Linked DNA regions of Solanum lycopersicum. The protein of the gene in region 1 interacts with the protein of each later gene in a pairwise test. Links are inferred from orthologs where the notes say so. Each region holds a gene or a part of one and is shown on either strand. Other genes may lie near its edges. The genes, in order: guanine nucleotide-binding protein subunit beta and guanine nucleotide-binding protein subunit gamma 1.

Evidence for each region.
Region 2: the proteins of guanine nucleotide-binding protein subunit beta (region 1) and guanine nucleotide-binding protein subunit gamma 1 interact in a two-hybrid assay, tested with the Arabidopsis thaliana proteins (2 studies listed by BioGRID, with this or other methods). The link is inferred for Solanum lycopersicum from reciprocal best matches to the Arabidopsis thaliana genes AGB1 and AGG2.

The regions. Positions count from the first base shown.
Region 1 is NC_090800.1:92,558,738-92,563,114, reverse strand, and holds the start of guanine nucleotide-binding protein subunit beta, read left to right. Parts: upstream 1-1,403; 5' UTR 1,404-1,695; coding exon 1,696-1,801; intron 1,802-1,880; coding exon 1,881-1,975; intron 1,976-4,377. Other genes in the region: glucan endo-1,3-beta-D-glucosidase, read left to right, coding at 168-205. UniProt on the Arabidopsis thaliana protein: Guanine nucleotide-binding proteins (G proteins) are involved as a modulator or transducer in various transmembrane signaling systems.
Region 2 is NC_090808.1:66,085,478-66,090,021, forward strand, and holds the start of guanine nucleotide-binding protein subunit gamma 1, read left to right. Parts: upstream 1-1,538; 5' UTR 1,539-2,168; coding exon 2,169-2,285; intron 2,286-4,544. UniProt on the Arabidopsis thaliana protein: Guanine nucleotide-binding proteins (G proteins) are involved as a modulator or transducer in various transmembrane signaling systems.

The DNA.
Region 1 (4,377 bases):
ACTGTTCTTCCAAATTAGATACAAATGTTAATCCAAATTTCAAACTGTTAATAACTAATTAAACACATGTTTTGGCAAGGCTATAGCTTTCATATTTGGTACTTGATTAACTACCCTTGTCTTTATGTCAATAAATAACATTTTGTCTTCTTCTTTCTTTTTCTTAGGTTACAATGGCTGTACTTATCCTGGTGGCAACTTATAACGCAAAGCATCTAAATATATTTTATTATGATGGAGTAGTTTATGTAACTAAAAAAATTGGTCGATAAATAATCCCATCTACCCCCTTTTTCCTTTTGCTAAAATGATCAGGATTGTCTTCGAAGAAGAACTATATAAATTTGAAGTGTATAGTTCCTTAATACTATCATTTTCTTTCCAAACAACATATCCCGAGTAATGCAGTTGGATTAAAGATAGTGGGGTATTGGCAGACCATTGGAAACATCCGATATAGTTTATTTTTGTTCTCAGCTTCAATTTGTTTGATAAATTTGACACTACTCTTTAAAGTTGTATTCTATTAACCAAATTAAAACTTGTATTCGTGATCCATGAAATCTATTTTTCAAACTCAAGCAAAAAGTAAAAATTTAAAAGAAAACGAAGTAAATTAAAAACTTGTAATCGTGATCCATGAAATTATAAAACAGTAGTCTTGCTATTTGCTTGAAAATAATTATTTATATAATAAAAGATACCAGACATGAGTTTTTGTAGTTGCCAAATCCCATAGACCACCATTTATATATTTGCAACCATATTTCATATAGAATTCTAGGGTAATAAATTCACGTGTTTAGCATAAATAAATCACACAATAATTAACGGTTGAGGATAGAACTGAGATTTACTTGGGAGAAGCAATCAATGTTAAAAAGTCTAGACAAGTTGACTCAATCTAAGGTCACAAAAGTAATAATTTCGAAAATAAAAAAACAAATATTTTAGGACAAAGCCCCTTCTTCACTTTAAAATATATTTGACTTTAAATTGAATTATATATGTATATAATTTTATATAACTGTATTTTATATATATACATTTATATAAATGGAAGCGAGATCGGGAGAGGGAGGTGGGAGGTGAGAGGCGAGCGAGATTGAGAGAGGGAAGAGAGAGGCGAGTAAAAAAGGGCAGAGAGGTGAATTGTACATGTATATAGACTAAACAATTGTATATTATACATATTTATTTGTATATCCACGCGCATTATACATATACAAACATAAATATTATATAAAATCTAAGTCAGTTCACATAATTAATATATCATGTTAATATCAAATGATAATTATAACAAACTATAGTCATGATGAGTAATTAAATAATATAAATTTGCTTATCCGCATAATTTTCCCATAAAATAAATCATAATACTATAATAAAGAAATACTCTCAGTTCTCTTTTGGGCCGGAAGCCCAAAGAGGACTCATTAGTCGCGGTCAATGAAGTCATGTGGACCCCACAAGAACACGTCATGTACAGCGGTGGGCCCGACGGCTATCAGTCAAACAGCTCTCTGTAAAAGGCTGAAACCACCCTCACACCACCACCAACTTCCGTGACTCGCCGCTGTCTCAGCCACTCTTTCTCTCTCCTCTTTCTCTTTCTTCTTCAAAAACCCTAATCCAAGCAAAAAATAAAATCTTGCAATTTTGTGAAAATTATGTTTCAATTTCCTTAAGGAAATGTCAGTTGCGGAGCTGAAAGAGCGGCACATGGCCGCCACACAGACTGTAAATGATCTCCGTGAAAAACTTAAGCAGAAGCGTCTCCAATTACTCGACACCGATGGTAAGTTCTTTCTTATTTGAAGCTGTTTCCGTAACTATTCCAGAGATCTTGATTTTTTTTTTATTTTCTTTTTTCGCAGTTTCTGGGTATGCAAAGACGCAAGGTAAAACTCCGGTAACGTTCGGCCCAACAGATCTGGTTTGTTGTAGGATCCTGCAAGGACACACTGGAAAGGTTAGATACTTTCTCCATCTTTTTTGAATTTGAGATTCAAATTTATATAACGAAATTCATGCTTTCTTTCTTACAATTTATATGTATATACATACGGATTGTTTGTTTGATCGATTACTTTCACGACTTAAACTCAAATTTGTTTAATTATATTCTAATTCTTGAATCTTGATGAAAAATTAACTCAAATTCGTTTAATTATATTCTAATTCTTGAATCTTGATGAATATTGAAAAAAAGTTCTTGAATCTTGATATGATTTTTTGTTTATGAAACCAACTTTTTAATATATATTTTCTGTGTATTTTTCTACCTTTGCTAATGAAATGAACAAGCTAGATTAAGATCTTGAGCTTTGCAGTCAATCAAACACCATCATATTGAGTTCAGGACGAGAATTTGAGACCATGGATTTTTGTCTTTTTGGTCTATGGCTGGTCCTGTTAGCATGTTTAACCGTTAACAATGCAGTAAAGCGAGTACATTTTGAAAGTCTTACTGCTATCGTAGGCCCCCTAACAAGTACGAAGCTAGCACAAACTCTTTTTGAACTGTGCATGCATGAATTTAGTGTAAGGGCTGAGCAAGTTTATGTTTTTAACTACTCTATTCTTCAAGGTGTGGTTGTTATATGAGTATTAACTGTCACCTCTTTTCTTTCTTTAGTCTGCTTTACTCCCTTCTCACATTTCCCTTCAGTAGACGAGTAATTGCTGGGTGCACGAGGTAATTGGTTCTTGAAGTAAAATCGACAACTATTGTATGATTGGAAGTGACTAAACCTAGTACATTGTGACTATTGTTACTTGACAAAGTGTCAATTGAATTTTATTCTCAAAGTCAAAACATAACATGGCGACAAAATAATTCTTAGAAATAATAAACAACAAGTTAAAAAGTGGAGGCACAGAGCAGTAGAAGAAGATCAAATCAACAAGAGCAGAGTTGGTTAATTAGTCCTTGACAAGGGTCTAACATAGTTGATTGTAATCTATTGTTTTCAACTTGAATGATGCATTATATTCCCTCCGTTTCAATTTGTTTGTCTAGTTTTGACTTGACACGTAGTTTTAGAAGTATAGACGGCTTAAACAGAGGGAGTACGTGTATGGAAGGATGTTGCTTAGTCACTAATATGTGCCACCTAAAAACTTGGACACTAGGAAAGCATGATAACTATCAAATCAAGCTAACATCTAACTAGCTGTTAGCCAGTGTTTTGGAAATCAATAAGTGAAAAAAAGCAACGACTGCTCGCTTCAATGAAGTGTGAAGTGAAGGCATGGTTTTTTTTTTAACTAAAGCACGATTTAATACGAAATTAGGTAATATTAAATTCATATAGATAAATGACCAAGAACTCAATAGGAGTCAATAATCCTCATAAAATAGTAAAACTAGATAGTCAGTTAACTTTGTCTCAAAAAATAATCCTCATAACATGTTAAGCAATTTCAGAACCAAATTCATGGAACCCTAGACGAAAATGATAGTTATCTATTAGAAGCCAATTCTTAACCAAATTCATGAAACCCTAGACAAATTCTTAACCAAATTCTAGATGCAAATGTTTTACTCTTCCTGTTCTTCTTATATAATTCCAAAAGAAGTAGAGAAGAAGAGAAATTTGGAGAGGAAGAGTTTAACATTTTCGTGTAGGTTTTCATGAAAATTTAAAGAGGAGAGGAGAAGAGACAAGAAAAGATTAAGGGACGAAGAGAAGAAGATAAGAAATAACATTGCAACACTAGAATTAGAGGAGAAAAGAGCAGCAAATCCGAGTAGCAGCAGCAGGAAAAAGATGTGTAAGACTCTGTTGCAATGGTTTTAAAACTAGACCTAGAATTAACCCTAATTTCATTGAAAATTTCCAAAAATCTCGCTTTTTTCGCTTAAGGATGCTTCACGCTTCAGGCACTTCTTGCTGAGACGCACACTTTTCTTTTCTAGCCTTGCTTCAGGGCATAAAGTGCTCTTCCCCACATCTTGCCTGATCTTAGTTCACGCTTTAAGCACTGAAGCGAGCGCTTTTAATTTCACTGCTGGAAGCTGTTACGGAAACTAGTTGGTTTTTTTGAAGAGGCAGCTATAAGACATAGCTATTACAATGTGAAAGATCAAAAATGACAATCCACCTGTGGAGAGACTAAAGCAAGTAATTAAGGAATCATCATACTCATGAACTACCCAACTGCATAACACCAAGTACCGGTACTCACTAAATTGAGTGAGAATACTTTATTAATCATACTTGCTCATTAGTTTTGCTTCTTTATGTGCATATAATATCCTCTAAAAACTTTGTTGATGTATTAATGGAGAGACCATTGCAAGTAAATAAGGGAACATCATATACATTATAAATTATGGCAACTTAGTTGATGTATGTTGGAGATCATGAT
Region 2 (4,544 bases), on another chromosome or scaffold:
TTCATTATAGGTCATTTCGAATTAATGTGTTGAACAGAGTTTCGATTAGATACTTAGATTTATTATAAGACTTAAATTTACGAATTCTGATAAATTTTGAAAAAGATTTCAAATATGATCGCATTATTATTTATTTGTTTCTTTTCCTCTTTACGCTAATAGAATTGTTGAATGTAAACGTGTACACGTGATAAATATCAAATATGGGCAAGAAAATATTCTGGAGGTAATTTATTTATACCAAAAAAAAAAAGCAGAAAAAAACTTGTCTTCACTAAAAATGGAAAAAAATAAATTATTTTCCTCCCACAGAAAATAAATCCCATGTGCTCCTCTCTGCCAGCTTTGGGAGCTTCTTTTATCTTAATTGAAGATAACTTAAATTAATAGCGATATATAATCTATTTAATAATTTTTCATTAAGTGAAATTTGAAAAAAAAATTAAAAGTATATTACAGTGCAAAGTCTCACACTATATTACCTTAGCACTGTATGTTAAGTTAATTCCTATTAGTCATTTGGTTTTAAAAAAAAATTTCAAAAAAAGTTTGAAAAAAAATATGAATAAAGAAGTTAGATGAATTTAAAATAATTAAATTCAACAATTAAAAAAAAACAAAAACTTAGGTTAGCATACCGTATGAATTTAAATATTTCATGTTCTGTCGATTCATTTTCATCTAACATTTTTTAACTCATCGTACCTCTAATAACATCCATCATTGTCATTCATGTATACATTTTTATTGAACGCTTATTTCCTTTGTAATATTAACTTGAATCACTTTGTATTTTTAGTGAGATAATTTCCAATTATATAAATATCTAAATTTTATATTATACTACAAATACAAAGTTAAGTTATTTCCTTTCCTAATTTATCTTTTCTTTATTTTTATCGTTTACAAGCAAGATAAGATTAATGATCTTTTATTTGAAATGTAACGTAAAAAAAAATGATTTGTTGTAAACCAATGATTTAATCAATAAATTATTTAAATCTCATAATTAATTAAATAATATTACCTAAATTAGGATAAATAAACTTTTTTGTATATATATAAATTATAATTTCTCTCCTATATAAATCAATATAGATGGTACTGATATTGATTTATATTGTAGCTTACTGTTGAGGGTGACAAATCAGTGTTTCAACTTCCAAGTGCTCAGTAGTTGAACTCAACAGTGGGTTCTTCCCTTTAACCTTCTTGACACTCATTTGAAGTGGAGTTAAAAACTCAAATACGGAATTCAATTATCTTTATTCAAATGATATAATTTATAATAAAGAGTACACTAAATAATATATAAGGGCATACTTATGCATTATTCCTTATAAAAAATTAAAGTTCAAAAAATTTAAACTCTAATTTTGCGAAAGACTTCCCTTATCCTGTTCAATCCTCTTAGTATTTTAAAATTGGAGTTTGAACTATAAATTCAACTGTTAGCTCATTTTTCTTTTTAAGAAGTATACTAAATATAGAATTTAACGGTATAATAATACTATTTATAAAATTAAAATTCTGATTTCACGTCACAAACAGCTACTTTCAAACCACAATAACCCAAACACAAGCAAAAAGAAAAAAGAGACAAAAAAAGGAAGAATATTTTTGTAAAGTAAAATAAGTGAAAAAAGATTACCAACTTTCTCATTATTCAAAAAAGAAAAAATAATTTAAAAACCAAAAAAGCCAACTTTCCTTTTTGTTTTTTTTTTCTTCTTTTTTGGTTTCATCTTTCTTCTTTGTTCTTTCTGTTTTGCCTATCCCTTGGAACATTTCAATTCACTTTGTAGAACAACAAAACAAAAGTAAACCCCCCACCCCACTTCTACTACCCCCACTTTCTGCATTGTCTCTTCGATTGTCCATTTCTTGTTCTGCAGAAACTGCTAAAACCCTTTTTCTGGTTTCTTGAACAGTTCCAGAATCTCAATTTTTTTTTGTTTTTTAATGAAAATTGAGTGTTCTCTTGATTCTTTTTCCAAATGGGGTTTTTTGTTTTTAGTCTTTGAATAGTTACAGAATCTCTGGCTTCACTTGCACGATTTTGATTCTTTGGGGATTTGTTTTTTCGTATAAAATGAAGTTCTTTCCTTTTTTTGGTTTTTGAACTTTTCTGATTCTATAGGTATTTGGGTTTTGATTAATTGTGAGAAATGCAATCAGAGAGCTCAGAACAGGTGAGATCGGTTGTGGCAGCAGCTGATACTAGAGGGAAGCATCGGATATCTGCTGAATTGAAGAGACTTGAGCAGGAAACTCGTTTTTTAGAGGTTCTTCTGATGTCTCTTATTAACTTTTTTGTTTTGTTGCTTAAAAATTGTCTGTTTTTTCTGGTTTGCTGAATATGGTTGTTGTGAATTTGATATGTATGAGGAAAAGTTTGAATCTTTCTTCAAAGGGGGTGTTGTGTTGTATTGGTACACAGTGCAGATAGGAGTAATGAATGATGTTAAAAAAAAGGGATTTATCGTTATATGTGTTTGGTAATATGTGAAATGGATTGACCATTAACTGAAAAAAAAGAGCTTTTCTTTACTTTCAATTCTGAAAAGAGGGGCTTATTCACCTTTTTGGTTGAGTTAATGTACCAATGAGCTATTTCATCTTCTAGCACACACTTTCATAGTGTGGTTTACCTCTCCTGTGTGGTTTCCGAGCTGTTGTGAGGTTTACCCTGTGGTCACCCAAGGAGTAGTGGCTGTGAAGTCCCTTGTCATAGAAAAATGAGCTATTTCATGTTACATATCTGATTAAAGTTCTTGAGTCGTGGAAGTGTGAGGGTGTATGTCCCCTTTCATTTCATTTTCGATGTAGTAGGGAGAGTTCATTTGAGTTTTGAAGTGAAATCTTATTGTTTTTGAGAGTTCGAATAATAATTATTTGAATATGTTTTGGACTTGGCATGGAGTTTTTACCGAGAGCCTATAAACCTGTTGAAAATAGGACATTTAGGGCTCACTGATGTTTCATTGGAAACCAGTATCGAACTTCAACCATGAATTCTGGCCATCTAAAAAACTGCTGCACAGACTGCACAATATTACATGTTATTGTTTGAAATGCCTTTCTATTTGTGTTGCTTAAAAGTTTTTGAAGGCTTGATTTGCAACTATATATAAAAAAGACTGTTGATATTGTACCTGATGAGGCATTAACAGGTATCCCCTTTTTATAAACATCTGAAATCAGAAGAATATAGTGAACATTGTTTCAGTCCATTATGGAGTTGTTAGTTGAACACTGGAAGTCCTTACTTATTTGATGTTGGAGTGGGAGGAAGAAAGAGACGGTAGGGCAGGGGGGTGGGGTGGTACAAGGAAAATAGAAACCTGGAGTAGGAAAAGTATCATCGGACCACAAACCAATCAAAGTAATTAAACTGAGTTGCTTCACTGCCAGAAAACAAAATAAGCTGTTCTGTTATTTTGGCTTTTCCTGATTGTGAATTTTGTTGTTTATTATGGGAAACAGTGGTGGAGCTAGGATTTTTAATATATCTGGAGTCAAAATTCTAAAGGAGTAGACCTACGAAGAAGTTAAGGGGAGTCAATATGTACTATATATCCATAAAAAGGAATTTTTTTACCTAGCTACACAGTGGAATCTTCTTCTTCGTCACCCCTGGAATACATGTGGAGGAGATTCCGAGATATAAATGCAAATATTTGAAGATTTTGTGGTGGTTGGGGGTATCTAGCTGTGAGGATTTCTAAAGCAGACAAATTTTCATGGTCATCGGATTATATATGGAAGGAGACAGATACTAGAATCTTCTCTAACTGTGCAATTAGAATCTTTGTTTTTTGACTTTTGCTTCTTGACATGAGTTTGTAGCTTCACTCCTTTAATCATTTCATTATCTCTGAGAAAGGTCTAGAATATTTTACTCCTTCAGGCTTCGTCCTTTTTTATATGGAAAGACTTGATTGAACATTGTAAATAAGATGTTAATTTTGACTTGCAACTATATTACTGCTTCTGGAGAAAACATGAATTTAATAGAAAAACATTACATCAAAGTTTAAAATTTAAACCACTTTATCAATTTGAATTCTTGAAAATTGTGAAAGCTGTACAAAAACAGAATGGTATCAATCATGATTAGACGTCATAAGAATGAGTAAGATAGAGTAATAATTTGAACTTAAATGTCTGGTAATGCTCATAAATATTAGTTCGTAGAGTGATTAATTATCACTCACAAGTAGCATTTCGATGTGATTCATATATATTGACTTTCGAAACTTTTTCTCTAGAAATTGACCCAATCTTATCAAATTACATCTCTTTTAGCATGGTTGGAGGTGTAGGTATCTAATATGTCTGCCAATGTGCTGAGGAGGGGGGTTGTGTGTGTTGATGTGCGCACAATCTGTCCAGGATACCACCACTATAAAAAATAAAATGTGAGCTTACGCTGATGTTTTTGTGAGCTGTAAGGTGTTACCTTTATGAATATTTGACCTAGTCTTAGTTCATAGTTGCTTAAATTAATTTTACGTCCCTGTGATCTTACACATCAAACTTGG